Linked DNA regions of Sus scrofa. The main gene of each other region encodes a partner of the protein of the gene in region 3 in a complex. Links are inferred from orthologs where the notes say so. Each region holds a gene or a part of one and is shown on either strand. Other genes may lie near its edges.

What was found.
Region 1: the proteins of BMP10 (region 3) and ACVRL1 are in contact, whole or in part, in a crystal structure (PDB 6SF1), measured with the Homo sapiens proteins. The link is inferred for Sus scrofa from reciprocal best matches to the Homo sapiens genes BMP10 and ACVRL1. Residues at the interface, in NP_055297.1 of Homo sapiens: Tyr322, Asn357, Tyr358, Pro359, Ala361, Glu362, His363, Pro366, Thr367, Lys368, Ile371, Leu375, Leu378, Lys379, Ser381, Lys386; in NP_000011.2 of Homo sapiens: His40, Val54, Val56, Arg57, Glu58, Glu59, His66, Gly70, Asn71, Leu72, His73, Glu75, Leu76, Phe84, Val85, His87.
Region 2: the proteins of BMP10 (region 3) and BMPR2 are in contact, whole or in part, in a crystal structure (PDB 7PPA), measured with the Homo sapiens proteins. The link is inferred for Sus scrofa from reciprocal best matches to the Homo sapiens genes BMP10 and BMPR2. Residues at the interface, in NP_055297.1 of Homo sapiens: Tyr329, Lys333, Asp338, Ser339, Trp340, Ile342, Ala343, Pro344, Pro345, Gly346, Tyr347, Glu348, Glu395, Pro396, Ile397, Ser398, Ile399, Leu400, Leu402, Val407, Tyr409, Phe411, Ala417; in NP_001195.2 of Homo sapiens: Asp38, Ser64, Tyr67, Leu69, Lys81, Cys84, Trp85, Ser86, Ile88, Gly89, Asp90, Pro91, Gln92, Glu93, Thr103, Thr104, Pro105, Pro106, Ile108, Tyr113, Phe115.

Annotation. Positions count from the first base shown.
Region 1 is NC_010447.5:17,280,009-17,285,917, forward strand, and holds the end of ACVRL1 (serine/threonine-protein kinase receptor R3), read left to right. Parts: intron 1-425; coding exon 426-556; intron 557-1,777; coding exon 1,778-1,912; 3' UTR 1,913-4,147; downstream 4,148-5,909. UniProt on the Homo sapiens protein: Type I receptor for TGF-beta family ligands BMP9/GDF2 and BMP10 and important regulator of normal blood vessel development. On ligand binding, forms a receptor complex consisting of two type II and two type I transmembrane serine/threonine kinases.
Region 2 is NC_010457.5:106,127,503-106,132,121, forward strand, and holds part of BMPR2 (bone morphogenetic protein receptor type-2 precursor), read left to right. Parts: intron 1-1,241; coding exon 1,242-2,521; intron 2,522-4,619. UniProt on the Homo sapiens protein: On ligand binding, forms a receptor complex consisting of two type II and two type I transmembrane serine/threonine kinases.
Region 3 is NC_010445.4:73,517,658-73,524,159, forward strand, and holds the start of BMP10 (bone morphogenetic protein 10), read left to right. Parts: upstream 1-2,246; 5' UTR 2,247-2,330; coding exon 2,331-2,664; intron 2,665-6,502. UniProt on the Homo sapiens protein: Required for maintaining the proliferative activity of embryonic cardiomyocytes by preventing premature activation of the negative cell cycle regulator CDKN1C/p57KIP and maintaining the required expression levels of cardiogenic factors such as MEF2C and NKX2-5.

The DNA.
Region 1 (5,909 bases), on a different chromosome or scaffold from region 3:
CGGGTTCGGCCCCTGCCCTTGCTCAGTGGGTTAACGATCCAGCGTTGCCTCGAGTTGTGGTGTAGTTTGCAGATGCGGCTTGGATCCAGTGTTGCTGTGGCTCTGGTGTAGGCCAGGGGCTACAGCTCCGATTTGACCCCTAGCCTGGGAACCTCCATATGCCGCGGGAGCGGCCCAAGAAATAGCAAAAAGACAAAAAAAAATACATATATATATATATATATATATATATATATATATGTGTGTGTATATATATATATATATATTTATTTATTTATCATATTATGCTATCCCTCTCAGGGATAGCATAGCCAGGCAGCTAGTTTCCTGGTCCCTGGTCCAGAGGGTGGGCAGGGCTCTCTGCTGGGTGACCTTGGGTCTCCTTGGCATCCTGAGTGACTGTCCCCATTGCCTGCCATCCCCAGGCATTGTCGAGGACTACAGGCCCCCCTTCTATGATGTGGTGCCTAATGATCCCAGCTTTGAGGACATGAAGAAGGTGGTGTGTGTTGACCAGCAGACACCCACCATCCCCAACCGACTGGCTGCAGACCCGGTGAGGCCTCCAGGGGGGCTGGGATGGCATGGGGCGGTGGCCCACAGCTGGGGGTGCTGGGCCCAGGAACTTCTGTCCCGCTTCCACTTCACCTGGAGAGACTGTGGGGGACAGAGTCCAGGCTCCCTCTCTGGGGACCTCATCCTTGCCTGGGGACCTCTGGGGACCCTCTGGTTTTTCCAGGATTTCCAGAACCCTTCACCTGACCTGAAAAGTCAGAGGCTCTCTGTCACCCTTCCAGCTATGCAGTTCTTGTTATTGCTGGTTTGTCTTGTTTTTTTCTCAAAACACTCTACATACTTATATAGGACACACACACATAGAGACACATATAGTCATGCACACTCTTCTGCACAAACACACACTCACACATGCACATATCTGCCAGACTGTCAGCCCATGAAGACAAAGAGCATCTCCTTTGCTGACCTTTCCATCCCGGTTACCTGTCACAGTGCCTGGCACACAATAGGGACTCAAGAAATGTTTATGGAAAGAATGACTCAACATACACATGTATATACAGGTGTGTGTGCGTACGCACAGGCACACTTCTGCACCACATGCGGATCCACAAGAGACCACTCAGATGCATGCCTTTGCACACACACATACACTCCCTCTCAGGAACCAGCTCAAGTTCTGAGGCGGGGGTAAGGCTGAGGACCTCACTCGAGGACCACCGAGCTTCCCGGGTGGGTTCCTCCCTGGAAAGATGCATTTCGAGGGCACCCACCACCCAATCTTCCAGGGTCCACTGGGCCTGCCAGGGTTGGTGGAGGGACGGGGACCTGCTGCCTTCTGCACTGGGGTCCGGCTGCATGCAGATGGGGACATGGAGAGGTCCCCTTTCCTGGTTCTCGGTAGAGGTGGGGGTGGGGCAAGTTGTTTTGTAAACGCCAAAGGGCGTCCCTGAAGATCTGAGTGACCCTCTGCATCCTGCCTGCCTTTCTCCATCCCCTTCTCGTTCCACTCCCTTCCTCTTTCATTTTGCATCTTTCTTTCCTCATCCTGCCTGCTTCCCGCCATTCTCCCTCCTCCCACTTCTGTCTCTCCTCCCCCACCTTCTTTTCGACACACCTGCTTCCCTCCTCTCATCCGTTCTGTCCTGCTGGGGTCTCCGCCCCGTGGGGCATCCTCCTGGCCTCTTCCTTTCCATCCCCCCTGACCCCATGACTCTGCCTCCTCTCCTCTGCTTTGCTCTCCCTCCCCCCACCCCAGGTCCTCTCAGGCCTGGCTCAGATGATGCGGGAGTGCTGGTACCCCAACCCCTCTGCCCGCCTCACTGCGCTGCGGATCAAGAAGACGCTACAGAAACTCAGCAACGGTCTCCAGAAGCCCAAAGGGATTCACTAGCCACGGACCGATGCCTGAACTTCCCTCCACCGGCGGTGTGTGTGGGGTGGGCCAGCGGTGGTGACCTGTTTGGGTAGAGGTTGTGTGAGTGTGTGTGCTGGGGAGGGGGGTGCCTGTCTCTGGGCAGCTGTGCCCGCCCGCCCGCCCGGCTGGCCCCCAGCCCATCCAGCCAAAAATATGGCTAGACTGAAACCCGATCCCCCCGCCGTCTGGCCCTCTGAAGGCAGCAGGCTCACTGACGCCTGGCTCCCTCCCCACCCCCCTGCCCTGGGTGCACCCCCACCCCCACCGCCCCCAGAACAGGATGCAAAAGAGGCTCCAGGGCCAGGGTGGCCAAGCCAGGGAATCCCAGTCCCGGACCCAGAGCCTGGACCTGCACTTTACCCCTTGTCCTCAGTCAACCCCACTGCCCCACCAGAGCTGCCGGGGTGGCACAGGGCCCCGTCCAGCCTCCGGTAGACACCCTGCCCTGCCAGGCCACAGCCTCCTGTCCAAATTCCAGACACCCAGGACCCATCCGTTTTTCTCTGTGGGTTTGTATCTCGGCTCCATGCTGCCTCAGGCCTTTATCTCCTAGCCAAGACCCCCCCACCCCGCCCCAGCTGAATGCTAGCTGCCTAGGAGAGCTGGGGCCTGATCTGGGCCCCTCCCCCACCCCCTCCTTAGCTGACTTATGGCCTTAAACCCAAGGAGTCATGCTTTGGTGTGGCGGAGTCACAGGCCAGGGGAGAGGTGGCAGGTCAGATGGGCAAGGCCCAGGACTTTCAGGGTAAACTGAGAGGACATTGAGGCCAAGCCTGGCCAGGGAAAGGCTCACCTGGGAGTCAGGTCCTAGGTGCTTGCTCTGTGTAACAAGAATGGGGCCGTTATCCCAGGACCTTTGTTCTTTCATCCACCTTTGGAAAGATTTGGTCCTGATATCCTCTGAGGTTTTTCTCGGCTCTAAAGTTCTTTAAAATTGCAGCCTATGTTAGAACTCAGTTCATCAGACCCTTGAATCCTTATGTCCAAACCCCTGGCAGTTGCCTCAAGATGGTGATTTGAGCACAACTTTATCTGAGGCCAGGAGTATCTGAAATCTTCCTAGTCTAATTTTACAAGTTCCGGTTCCTGTCTTAATCCATGCCTGAGGCCCAGGACTCAGACAACCCTGGGCCTTCTGGCAGGCAAGCCAACCCCTCTGTGGCTTCCATTGCTCTGCCCAGGGCTGACAAGAGCTGAGGGCCAGTTCCTGCAGGGCCTCCAAGGCTCAGAAGAAATCTGGGCCCAACCAGCAAGCCTCCAGCACCCAGGTTCTTGCTCCCCACTGGCCCCTGGCCCAGGCCCACACCCTTGGCCAGGCCCCAGAAAGTGGCTGTAGAGAAACACATGGAAAGTTTAGCATTTAGAAAGGTCAAGGGCATATGTCCACGCATGGAGGTGACTCTGAACCCCAAGCGGGTGACTGCGATGGAGGGTGATGGGTAGGAGGTAGGGCCTGCAGGTTGGAGGGTGAGAAGCAGGGCTCAGGCTAAGGACAGAGCAGTCCCACACTTGGAGAGACCTGGCCTTGCAGCCCTCAGCCCGAGACAGGGTGAAGGAAGGACCCTCAGTTCTCCACAGGAGGTGAAGGAAACACAGCCTCCTCCCCTCTTGCTGTAAATGCCCCAGCACAGCCTCCTGGGGCGGCTTCCTGAGTGTCTCTTCCACCGTTGCAGTGGCACTTTCCCAGGCCTGCCTGCCAGCATTGTGCAAGGCCTGGAGGAGAAGCAGGAAGTGAAACTGGCTGAAACAGAAAGCTACATGGACCAGCTAGGTTCCCACATCAACTGGGGGGCAGTTTGCTTCCTGGCAGTTTCATGTCTTCTGGTCCCTGGAACCCACCCAGTCCAGAAATCAGGACCCCCCCCACCCCCTTGAAGGTTTTTACCTCTACTGGATCTGGGGCCAAAAGGTTCCTGAGGCTCCGCAGTCAGCCTGAAGGCAGCAGCTCCCCAAAGGCTAGAAAATCCCTAAGAGGCAGGAGGCCGGGTGATGGGGGAAGGCTGAGAGAAGGGGCTGAAAGTGGGAGAAGAGCTATGGCTCGAAGGGAAGGAGCTGTTGGTGAGAGCCGTCTGTATAATGCTGCTGGCTGAGTTCAGGACCATGTTCCACAGCCGAAATGACAGTCCCTTAACTTGGAGAGACTGTTTGTGGGAGCACTTAGCTTGTGCTTAGCCCCTAGTAGGTCCTCAATAAAGCATGGTTGAATCTGGAGCTCCTGCTGCATCTTCCCAGGCCTGTGTCTCTGCAGGGGCCTCTCACAGAGGGAACTCAAGAGGACAGGGAAGGAGAGAGTCCCAGGGTATCCTGCCTGGGCTTCGTCCTTAAGAACCAAGTCACAGCTGACACTGGCCCCTGCTTGGATCTCAGTTCCCACCAGCCCGAATCTCAGTTCCTACCACCGGCTGGGAGCCGCCAGCTCGCGGCGCCTCCGCATCGCCCTCTGCTGGCCGGGAGGCTGCCGAGCGGCCGCCTTCTGCTCCGCCCCCGCGTGGGAACCGCAGGCCTTTCCCCGCGGGGATCTCCTCGCGCCGCTGCCCGGCCTCCCCCGTGGTTCTGTTTTGTGGGCAGTGTCCCCCGAAAACCACATCTAGAAAGGAGCTGCGATCTCACTCCGAGGCAGCTTGGACCCGCCCACCTCAATTCCCGGTTCTCCATTCTCTCCTTAAAATGGGACCCCTCTCTGGAACTCAGTCCTCATTCCCCAAACGGGAAGGCGGTCACCACCCTCAGGGACCCACCTTGGCCTCCTGGATGGGCTCGGAAAGCACCTCCCCCGCTTCCCCTGGAAACCTGCGGCGGGGACACGCCAGGGAGGAGGCAGGTGCTGAAAGAAGCCAAGACGGGTCTTTTCCATTTGACTGCCTATGCCTTTGCAGTAGAGGCCCCCTTAGGGAGCTACAGAAAGGGTCCCCCAATTCGTTTTACCGCGAAGGACCTCCCCCCCCTCCCAACAGCCCCCAAGGCGCTCTCATGCCTGGAGCCTGCTACCCACTTCCCAAGCCTATGTCCATGGACCCTCACACAGACCGTGCCCTTCACAGAAGACCTCTTAACACCAGCTCCGGGGAAGTAGCGAGCCTGGCATCCCTCAATGACGACTTTCTCCCTCCTCCTGTGTCTGCCAGACCCTGGTCTGGTCTTTCCATCTCCATCCTGATGTCCACCCTTTGGTTGGAGTGTGGGCAGAAGGGCAGTAGGAATATTGCGGAAAAGGAATCTCAAGGCTGGCTGGGGTCTGGGAAAGGAGCATTGGGCTTCTTGCCCTCCAGGGTTAGAACAGTCTGCAGAGGTCACCGTGTCCCAGCCCCTCCCTCCATGTAGAGCCTCAGGGAAACTGCCTGCCTTTGAAAAAAGAAAACCCATCAACTTTTTCACAGCTTTGTCCTGCCCTCCTGGGGACCCCAGGCTCCAGTTTCCTTACCTGGAAACTATGTTGTAAGGAGTTTCCCCGAGGGATGACAAGTGTCTATAACACGCCCAAATGGGAGTAAGGGTGGTTCCCGGAGCATCAGTTTTGATGCTAAGGCACTCGCCTTCCCCTCCCAAGCCCTGGTGGTACCCAATTCTATTCTCCCAGTCACCATTCTCCCTCATCTGTCCTGGAAAGGGATGGCCCTTCTGCCTCCAAAGCCTCACTCGCATCAATATTAGCAGACTGAGGGATGGCAAATCCCCACGCCTAAAACACCCAACCATGGCGGAGAGCTGGGGAGGGGGGGCACACGTCCAGTCTCCCAGGGCGGGGACGGATGCTGACTATGCAGCCGTCACTCTGGGTGGGCGACTCTTGGAACGAGCTGTTTCCACCAGGGCCACATTCAGTTTGCTAGAAATAGAGACAGAGGGCTTCTTGACTTTGCATATGATTTGCATAATGCCATAGACACACGGTCTATTTTCAGGCAGTTTTCAGGTTAAAGTGTTGTCACTGCTGCCCTGCGGGGTGTCACGTCTGGATGAGTCTCTTCTCTGT
Region 2 (4,619 bases), on a different chromosome or scaffold from region 3:
TATTTGGTTTGGTTTTCAGATTCCACATACAAGTGAAATCATATGGTATTTGTCTTTCTCTGTCTGACTTATTTCACTTAGCATAATACATTCTAGATCCATCCATGTCACAGATGGAAAGATTTCATTCTTTTTTATGGCTGATATTCTGTTGGGCATATACCACATTTTTGTCTATTTATCTATCAGTGGGTACTTGGGTTTTTTCCATATCTTGGCCTGGCTTTTTTTTTTTAAAGCAAATATGTTATAGTGTGATGTTTAAGAACCACCATTCTCAAGATGTGACAATAACAGGGAAGAACCTTTGATAACTGGAGAGCAGTTCTATATCTTTGATTTATTTATTTATTTATTTTTTTATTTTGAGTGTCACATTCTGCCTTATACCCTAAGGCTCTAAGACTTTCATTGATAATGGTTCGGTCTACCTTAGGAAGATAAGTTCCTTTGCTAGACTATGCGTCTTAATGTAGCACTTTGAAACAACCTAAAAGATTATGTTCTTTTTACTATTTGGAACTTAGTTGGTAACATATTTGTTGAGTAGCAGTTGTATATTTAGAATTATGGAAATGTAAAAGACACACGCCTTGTTTCCTTCTCTCATGGAACTTTTTTTTTTTTTTTTTTTGCCTCTTCAGGGCCGCAACCTACGGCATATGGAGGTTCCCAGGCTAGGGGCCTAATGGGAGCTGTAGCTGCCAGCCACAGCCATAGCCACAACAACGCAGGATCTGAGCCGCATCTGCGATCTGCACCACAGCTCACAGCAACGCCGGGTCCTTAACCCACTGAGCGAGGCCAGGGATCGAACCCGCAACCTCATGGTTCCTAGTTGAATTCGTCAACCATTGAACCACAATGGGAACTCCTCTCATGGAACTTTTATGTCTGTTGTGCAAGTATTCAATTCATAAAGGTATATTTGCTAATGTTACAAAACTATAGGGGAGTTTTTTTAAATAACTTTTATAAGCCTAAAGAATAAGTATATATATAAATCATGTCTAGATCCATATAGGCTTTTTGGTAGGCTTAAATCATACAAAACTAGCCTTTAGCAAGGTATTAAATGACATTTGATTGTTTGATTAGAATTATTAAATAACCTTTAGAATAATGTGGGTTAGGAATAAAATTAAAAGCAAATTATTCTTTAAAATCAGAGGTGTTAAACTCTGAGAGTCAGTTTGTCATAAATGTACATTCTCAACATGGCACTTTTTTCTTTCTTTAAGCAACCTATCCCACAACAGGCGTGTGCCAAAGATTGGCCCTTATCCAGATTATTCTTCTTCCTCATACATTGAAGACTCGATCCATCACACTGACAGCATTGTGAAGAATATCTCCTCTGAGCATTCAATGTCCAGCACACCTTTGACTTTAGGGGAAAAGAACCGAAATTCAATTAACTATGAACGGCAGCAAGCACAAGCTCGAATCCCCAGCCCTGAAACAAGTGTCACCAGCTTGTCTACCAACACTACAACCACAAACACCACTGGCCTCACTCCAAGCACCGGCATGACCACTATATCTGAGATGCCATACTCAGATGAAGCAAATCTGCATGCCACAAATGTCTCACAGCCAATCGGGCCAACCCCCGTCTGCTTACAACTGACAGAAGAAGACTTGGAGACCAACAAGCTGGACCCAAAAGAAGTTGATAAAAACCTCAAAGAAAGTTCTGATGAGAATCTCATGGAACATTCTCTTAAACAGTTTAGTGGGCCAGATCCCCTGAGCAGTACCAGTTCTAGCTTGCTTTACCCACTCATAAAGCTTGCAGTAGAAGTGACAGGACAGCAGGACTTCGCACAGGCTGCAAATGGCCAAGCATGTTTAATTCCTGATGTCCCACCCGCTCAGATCTATCCTCTCCCCAAGCAACAGAACCTTCCTAAGAGACCTACTAGTTTGCCTTTGAACACCAAAAATTCAACAAAGGAGCCCCGGCTGAAATTTGGCAGCAAGCACAAATCAAACTTGAAACAAGTAGAAACTGGAGTTGCCAAGATGAATACAATCAATGCTGCAGAACCTCATGTGGTGACGGTCACCATGAATGGTGTGGCAGGTAGAAACCACAGCATTAACTCTCATGCTGCCACTACCCAGTATGTCAATGGGGTAGTTCCGTCTGGCCAGACAGCCAACACAGTGGCACATAGAACCCAAGAAATGCTGCAGAATCAATTCATTGGTGAGGACACCCGGCTGAATATTAATTCCAGTCCTGATGAGCATGAACCATTACTGAGACGAGAGCAACAGGCTGGCCATGATGAAGGTGTTCTGGATCGTCTGGTGGACAGGAGGGAACGACCACTGGAAGGCGGCCGAACTAATTCCAATAACAACAACAGCAATCCATGTTCAGAGCAAGAAGGTCTTACACAGGGTGTTCCAAGCACAGTAGCAGACCCTGCACCGTCAAAGCCCAGAAGAGCACAGAGGCCTAATTCTCTGGATCTTTCAGCCACAAATGTCCTTGATGGCAGCAGTTTGCAGTGTAAGTGGAGGGATTGTGTAATCTTTTGGGACCATTTAAGTAACTACTTAGTTAGAAACAGATTATGTTTCAACTAGCAATTATTTTATATTACTTTTCAAAATAAAATAAGCCATTTGGGAGTTCTCATTGTGGCCCAGCAGGTTTCAATCCTGACTAGTATGCAGGGATGCAGGTTTGATCCTTGGCCTTGCTCAGTGGGTTATGGATCCGGCCTTGCCATGAGCTATAGTGTAGGTTGCCGGTATGGCTCAGATCTGGTGTTGCTGTGGCTGCGGCATAGGCCAGTAGCTGCAGCTCTGATTTGACTCTTAGCCTAGGAACTTCCATATACTGCAGTGCAGCCCTGAAAGAAGCAAAAAATAAAATAAGCCATTTGGTTGGACTTCAGAAGTAATTAAAATGTTGTATAAAACAAATAATTTTGTTGTTTATAATTTAAAAGATAATGTCACAATAATTGGAATAGTTAGCAATTTGTCTTATGTAACTGCTGGTTTGTAATGCAACTCACATACTTACTATGAATAGTTGAGATAAAGTACTGACCAGTTTAAACAATCCAAGTAAGATGATGCCAGTATCACTTTTGAAACTTTGTTGAGCATATTAGTATTTATTAAAAAGTCCATAGAAAATTCAGAAAAGTCAATATAAAGAAACCATAGGAGTTCCAGTTTGTGGCACAGCAGAAATGAATCTGACTAGTATCCTATGAGGACACAGGTTTGATCCCTGACCTGGCTCAGTGGGTTAAGGATCTGGCGTTGTCCTGAGCTGTGGTGTAGGTCTCAGATGCAGCTCAGATTCTGCGTTGGTGTGGCTATGGTATAGGCCAGCAGCAGTAGCTCCAATTGGACCCCTGGCCTGGGGACTCCATATGCCTTAGGTGCAGCTCTAAAAAAAAATAAATAAAACAAGAAACTATAAAGTTCTTCATGGTTTTTAATGTCATTTTTTTTTTTTAGGAGTTATATGCTGAGTCTCCCATGTGCCTATAGCATTGTGCTGTGGGGCCTCTAGCAACTTGATACTTGGTTTATGGCCCTAGAAGGATTATAATGCAATATAGAAGAGCTCACCAAAATCTTTAACAGTCATCATTATACAAAATGACTTCTCCGAGTTCCCGTCGTGGCTCAGTGGAAACAAACCCGACTACTATCCATGAGGATATGGGTTCAATCCCTGGCCTTACTCGGTGGGTTAAAGGATCTGGAGTTGCTGTGAGCTGTGGTATAGGCTGGCAGCTGCAGCTCCAATTCAGCCCCTAGTCTGGGAACTTCCATATTTTGTGAGTGCGGCCCTAAAAAAAAAAAAGATTGTTTAGACTGATAGCACTTATAAAAAAAAAAAAAGAAAGAAAAAACAAAGACTACGAAATGGGCTGAAGGGATTCGGCTGTCATAAATCAGTAGCCCCTTGCTTGAATGGCTTGTATTATAGAAATGTTGACATACCTTATGGCAAGGTTCCATATTAGTAAAAATGTCTTGTGACACATGGGAAGGGTAAGTTACTAGAAAATTTGTACCCCATTGTTTATGTCATTATTCTGAAAAATATTAATGCCTTGAGCCTTTAAAATATGATCCACTTTGAGCATGGAATAGAACGATTAAATGCATTTTGTAGCATTGCTGCTCATAACCAAAGGATTTTTGAGAATACAGTTGAGAACTTGGAATTTTCTCTTCTGTTTTTAACCTTTTGTGGCTTTTCAATATTTTCTTCCTTGCCCTATAGAATAATTCAACAAGTTATAAAAACATTGGGTTTAAAAGAGTCTCAAAAGTAAGTTGGTGGAGTTCCCATCATGACGCAGCAGAAATGAATCTGACTAGGAACCATGAGGTTGCAGGTTCTATCCCTGGCCTCATTCAGTGGGTTAAGGATCTGGTGTTGCCTTGATCCGTGGTGTAGGTCACAGCTAGGATCCTGAGTTGCTGTGGCTGTGGTGTAGGCTGGCAGCTGTAGCTCTGATTTGACCCCTAGCCTGGAAACCTCCATATGCCACGGGTGCAGCCCTAACATGCAAAAAGAAAAGAAAAAGGTTGGTTAAGTTTGGCCCAGAAAAATACTGCCTGGCATCATGAAT
Region 3 (6,502 bases):
TGGCTGCGCCTTCAGCATGTGGAAGTTCCCTGGGCCAGGGATCGAACCTGAGTCAAAGCAGAGACCTGAGTCACTACAGTGACAACACTGCATCCTTGACCTGCTGTGCCACAAGGGAACTCTGCAATCATCTTTTTAACAAAGGAACAGAAGCTTTCCCTGAAATAGAGCACTGACTCAAATCAACAACGATTAAGTAAATGAACGATTTTGTGGAGGGATTTCCTCCCCCCAAAATATAGAATAGATAACGGTCAAGGGCCTGCTGTAAAGCACAGAGAAATCTACTTAATATTCTGTAATAACCTATATGAGAAAAAAATGAAAAAAATAACCTAAATCAGAATAAAATAAAATATATATATATATATATAAAGCTGATTCAATTTGTCATACACCTGAAACTAAGACACCACTGTAAGTCAACTATACTCCAACAAAATTGTAAGAAAATACAGCCCTATTTCTGGTAGTTCAAAAAATTGCTATAAAAATGTGCATTTTAGGAGAAGGAAGAATCAGAAGATGACTATAAACCTTAGGGAGTATAGAAGACAAAAAAGGAAAATGGAGTTGCTGTAGTTATCCTATTGGGGTAAATGTAGGAAAACTTAACTGAGAAACTAAAAGAATATTCAGGTGCACCAAATATATAGCTCACAGCCCTCTGAGCACAGCACAAGGGCATATGCACTAAACAAGTCAGGGAGACACCAGGCCCAGAGGCTCAGCGGGAGAAACAGCCCCCGAAGTTGTCCACAGGACCATCCTGACACACTCTGAGGCTACAGCCACTAATGAGGGTTGAAAAGTGAGATGACCTTGGTGTGTCTTTCCCTGCACCAGACACACAATTCCACCACTGTTTTTCAGATCAAAGCTTTTGGCCTTTTTCACCTGCCTAATATGTTGTTTGCCAAGCTTTCACTGAAGCCATGTGATGAATTTGATTTAACCGTAAAGATGGCTTTAGCAGAGATTTTGGTGATCTTAATAATTCGTCATTCCAGTGAAGGACCTGAGGTCCACATCCAGCCACACGCTATTGCCTGTCTTCTCCTAACTGTGGGTGCCCGGGCAAAAGGCTGGGCTGGAGCTATAGCCCAGGGAACACTGGTTAAAAGGTCTGATTGCTGGGAGTTCCCACTGTGGCTCCGCAGCTTATGAACCCACCTAGTATCCAGGAGGATGCAGGTTTGATCCCTGGCCTTGCTCAGTTGGTTAAGGATCTGGTGTAGCCACAAGCTGCAGTGTAGCTCACAGACAAGCCTTGGATCCCACATTGCTGTGGCTGTGCTGTAGGCCGGCAGCTGCAGCTCTGATTCGACCCTTAGCCTGGGAACTTCCATATGCCGCAAGTACGGCCCTAAAAAAAGCAAAGGTCTGATTGTTTTCTTGTTTCATAAGTGTCAGACTGCCTGGATTCAAATCCTGGCTCCATCACTTTGTCACTTTGTGACCTCTGGCAACATATTGAAACTTAGTGACCGATGTATGCCATGGGGATAATAATAGTGTCATTATAGGAAGCACATTTGGCGATATATACAAAGTACTTAGCACATTGCCTGTTCGTAGGAAAGCACCTAATAAATCTTAGCTGCTGTAATAATGAAGCACTTGCCCTATTTTTCAAAAGCCATTTTAGCCAGATCAAGTCTGTACAAAAAAGGCTATTGATGACAAAGTTTTTACTCTCTTCTTTCTAATAATGTCAGCGGTTAAAGATTTCTGTAAGTTCATTTGTATCTATTAACTTAACTTGAAAACGCTGGAGATTTGGTCTTTCTTCGGAGAGATTTATGTGAGAATGAAAGGCCCCTCACTTGCATTAAACCGTATCGCCACCCATGTGCATTATGTCGATTCTTAATATCTATTATCTGCATGTGTGACACTGAACCATGTAAAAGCAAAATGTAGGTGCTTCTGCCAAAAGGAAGTGGATTCAAAGGAGGAGAAGCAGAGCCTTTGCAAGAAGAAAACTGTCCTATCTCTCAGCCAGTGTCAGAATGTGGAAATGTTTACAAAATGCTCATTAAAAGAAAAAAGGATTGCAAGATAGAAACAAAATCTGGTGCACAAGTTTACACTAGGGAGATAAGAAAGGCTAGGCCCCTATGGGGGATTTTGTTATCCAATTACTGCAACCTGACTTTTGGTGTTGGGGGGTGTGTGTGGGAAGAGTGGCGGGGGGAGGGAGAGAGAAGGGAAGTTTCCAAACTTGTCTCCAGTGACAGGAGACATTTATGCTCTGCAAGATAAAACTGCCACTTAGAGCCCAGGAGCGCTAAACCTTCCTGGGCTGGCCTGGGGGCTCGAGCAGAGCTATGGGTTTCCTGGCCCTACAGCTGTGCGCGCTCTCCTGCCTGGTGGCTCCCTGGGTTTCTGGCAGCCCCATCATGAGCCTGGAGCAGTCGCCTCTGGAAGAAGATATGCCACTCTTTGACGATGTCTTCTCGGAGCAAGATGGTGTCGACTTCAACAGCCTGCTCCAGAGCATGAAGAACGAGTTTCTCAAGACATTGAACCTGTCTGACATCCCGATGCAGGACTCAGCCAAGGTCGACCCCCCCGAGTACATGCTGGAACTCTACAATAAATTTGCCACAGATCGGACCTCCATGCCCTCTGCCAACATCATTAGGAGTTTCAAGAATGAAGGTAGGTTGACGTTTTACTGATGAAATCTGGCTTTGCATTTTCAGAAGCACTAGGTAAATGGACCATGCAAGGGAGGGATACAGATAAGAGTGAAAACGTCTGTATAGGGGTGTGTGTGGACACAGACACACAGAAACAATGCACAGTGTGTTCTGTAACGTCTTCATTTTCCAAATGGCATTAAAAGGGATTAAAGAATATCTTTTGATCCAGAGTTGTAGGGTGTCTGCCATTTTGACCTCATCATTGGGCCTTTAAAATTTTTCAATTTGGACGGCAGGTCATAAAAGATGTTAATGTTAGTCTACCACCATACTTCTGCCCTTTTCCCAGATAGGCCTCAGTTCCATTTGGCTTTTAATTGACCACAGTATTTGTCAGCTTCTGAAAATGATGAAAGTAGACAAAATACAGAAAGTGGCCGTTTGTGTTTCCCTCAACCTTTGGGTGAGTTTCCATTCTGGGACCTGATGTAAGACGTGTTCAAACAGAATGGAAACGTATGTTTTCGAGATTCTTCCTAAAGTTCTGTTTCTTTGATGTGACGTGTGTATCCTTGAAGCCCTGTGTATAGTTTCCGGGAAGTGTGCAAGGCCCAATTAATGATCCGGCTTATTCTGTGTCCTTACAAAGAGCAAAGCACAAGCTTAGATATCAGTGGGAAAAATGTGTTTTCTTCCCCTCCCTAGATCCTTATGAAGTCCTAAATCTAAGGATCTAGCAAGGTAATTCTTTGTTTAATAGGATGCAAGTAGTCAAGATTTTTGTGGCTAATATCGAATACTCGATTCCAATATGGGTGGTGGGTCCAAAGAAAGCAATTCTTCATAGTTACCAATTATGCTTTTATAGTCATTGACCAGGTGCAAAAGGGGGTTTGAGTAGATGTTGGCCAAATGTTCTTGAAAGCAAAAAAGGCAGTGGCAAAACAACAGTACAGGATTTGGATTTTTGAGACAGGCCTGACTTTGTCAATGTGGATAATTAGCTTAATTTCCCTGAACCTCTATTTCTTCATCTGTAAATTAGGGATAATATTCCTACATAACAGAGTTGAGTGATTTCAAAGAGGTTATGAGTAAGAAAACACTCAATTTACTATGAAGTGTTGAACACGCGCTAGCGACCATTAATGAATTCCTTAAATTCTAGGTATTGGAGGAAATGTTAAACAGGCATTAGCCAGTCCTGGGGATAACTATTTGCCTTTAAAATTCAGGTGGCTGCCAAAATGTTACATATTCAGGAACATATTGGAAATATTACTTAGGAACATTTAGTAACATAATGGGAATGACCAGCTGAAGTTACCGATTCCTTTTGGAGTCAGTCTGAATTGAAAATCAGCCTTCTCCCTGGGATGTTTTGGATGCTGAGCCCTGGGTGGCTGAATCAGGGTGTGGATGGGAAGATGTTCACATCCCCAGGGGAAAATAGGAGCTTTTCCGTTCTCATTTCTCCTATGGAGGATTTGGATGGTCCAGGTCAGGAAGAGGAGTTTTCAGAGCTTCTTATTTCTCATGATCAGTGAGGACAGGGCAAACTTCTTAGGGGACAAGCCAGCTGCCCGCACCTCTGCCAGAATCCATGGGTGAAAATGCCCGAGGTCATGCATCCTGCTGGCTGACATTGTCTCTCTTTGATTCTTTGCGTTGACTCAGTGCAGCTCCCTAAGAGACAGCAACACGGAACAAAACCTCCTCCAAATCTAACTAATCAGAGGAAAAGGAGCGCTGCTTCCAAGGTGAAAAATATGCTATTTCATTTCCTACCACTGCTTTGATTTCACCTTGTCATCTTGGGGAAATCAGTTCTCTGCATTGAGGCTTGATTTCTTCCAGAATAACATGAACATAGTAGCAATGTATGCATTATAGGCTCATTGTAAGAGCTAAATGAAACAATTTGCAAAGCACCCGGCACAGGGCATTTGCTCAACAAATATTAGTTCCTTAACCTGAAATGTAATGCCTCCCTCTAGTATTGTATTTGCACATGAACACTGAATTTACTTTATCAGCTTTATTGAAGTATAATTGACATTCAATGAACTTCACATATTTAAAGTGTAGAAGTTGATAGGTTTTGACCAATGTAAGCATCCATTGGAGCCATCATCACAACCAAGAGTGAGCATATTCATCACCACCAAAAGTTTCCTTGTCTCCTTAGCAATCCCTTCCTCCCACTACAGCGAGCTTTTACTCTGCATTGTTCTAGTTAATGGAACAACTAGTCTACTCCCCTATTTTTGGTCCTCTCACATGTCCTATCCAAGGGGTGTCAGGTTTCCTCCATTCCTATAAGAGGGGACAACCACCCAATTACTTGATGTAATAAGGACAAATGTCATTCCTGTAAACTAATTTGGTCTGATGCCCAGAATCATCACTGAATCAATATTTTTAAGGTGCTACCTCTGTTTAAAGCATCGTGGTAGATTAGAGGTGTGGAGGGGAGTTTAAGCTGTAGTATCTATCATTATGATGACAATCTAGTTGGAAAGATTTCCACTCATAAAGACAACTGAAAAACAGGGACATAAATGGCGAAGTCACAGGAGAGATATAGAGAGTAAATAATCAAATTACCCAGGTGGGAGTGAACATCCAGGTAGGGAGGTGAGGAAGGGAGGTCCCACAGGGAGTGGTCACAGCTGGATAAATGGAGATGAGGGGATAGAGCTTTCCAAGGGTCAGAAGAACAGATCCAAAGGTACAATATACACTAAAGAAGACAAATGTTTTGGTGAAGTGGTGAACGTATCAGTCTACTCTAAAGGAGACTTTGTTTAATCTTTGCTTAAAAGATTTGTTTAATCTTTCAACAAATATTAATTGATCAATTGCAGTGTTCCATGCTGTAGGGGATGAATGGGATCAGGAGGTGAAGACCTGGTTAGAGCTAGTTTTGAGAGCCATGCTAGGGAGTTCAAATTCATTCCATTGACCAGTATTCCCCATTGACAGCATATGAGATGATTTTAAGTGGTACCCAGAGGAAACTCAATCGTGTGAAATCATTACATATTTTTGTTAATGTGGATTAAAAAAGAATTGACGTAACTCTCACCCCAACCCCTCATTTCGTGAATACTGTTACCTAGGACAAGTCTAAAAGAGGAAGCAAGCATTCAAATAATCAGATCAAGTTAAAGAAAAATATTAAAGAGTACAATCTGGAACAGCAACCCCACTGAAATCAAGAATTGGGTATACAGTTGGGGAAATGCTGCCAAAGATGATGGGGGAAGTCCTCAAGTGGTGGTCCTTAACATCTGTGGTGTCATGGAACCTTTTGATTGATGACAAATGTCTTCAGGGATTCCTTGTGAGCAGGTGTTACCTGGGCAAGTGTATGGGAGCTTGGGACTCCGAAAAATTCTCAGAGAGGAAGTCAACCTAATATTTGGAGGCATGCTTCTAAAACTAAAAATTTTAAACTAAAATTTAAAAATTTAAAATTTTATTTCATAAACATTCTGAGTGATTCCTACAGGCAGTACTTCCATACTAGGTGCTAAGGATATACAACTAAAGCAGTCAGTCTATCCCCAAGGTTCATTTCCCCACCCCCATTCTTCCTTATGGAGGACCACCACCCCAGGTTCAACTACTGTGACTCCCTTAGTTTTATGGCTCTCTTGTTGACCTTGCCAGGCTTTGGTGTCTAGAGCAAGGGTCAGCAAACTTTTTCTGTAAGAGGGCAGGCAGATCGTAAATGTTTTAGGTTTTATGGGTCGTGATCTCTGTTGAGACCATTTAACGCTCCCATCATAGCGCAAGGCTAGCCACAAACACAATACAGAAACAAATGCTTTCTAGTGACATTTTATTTC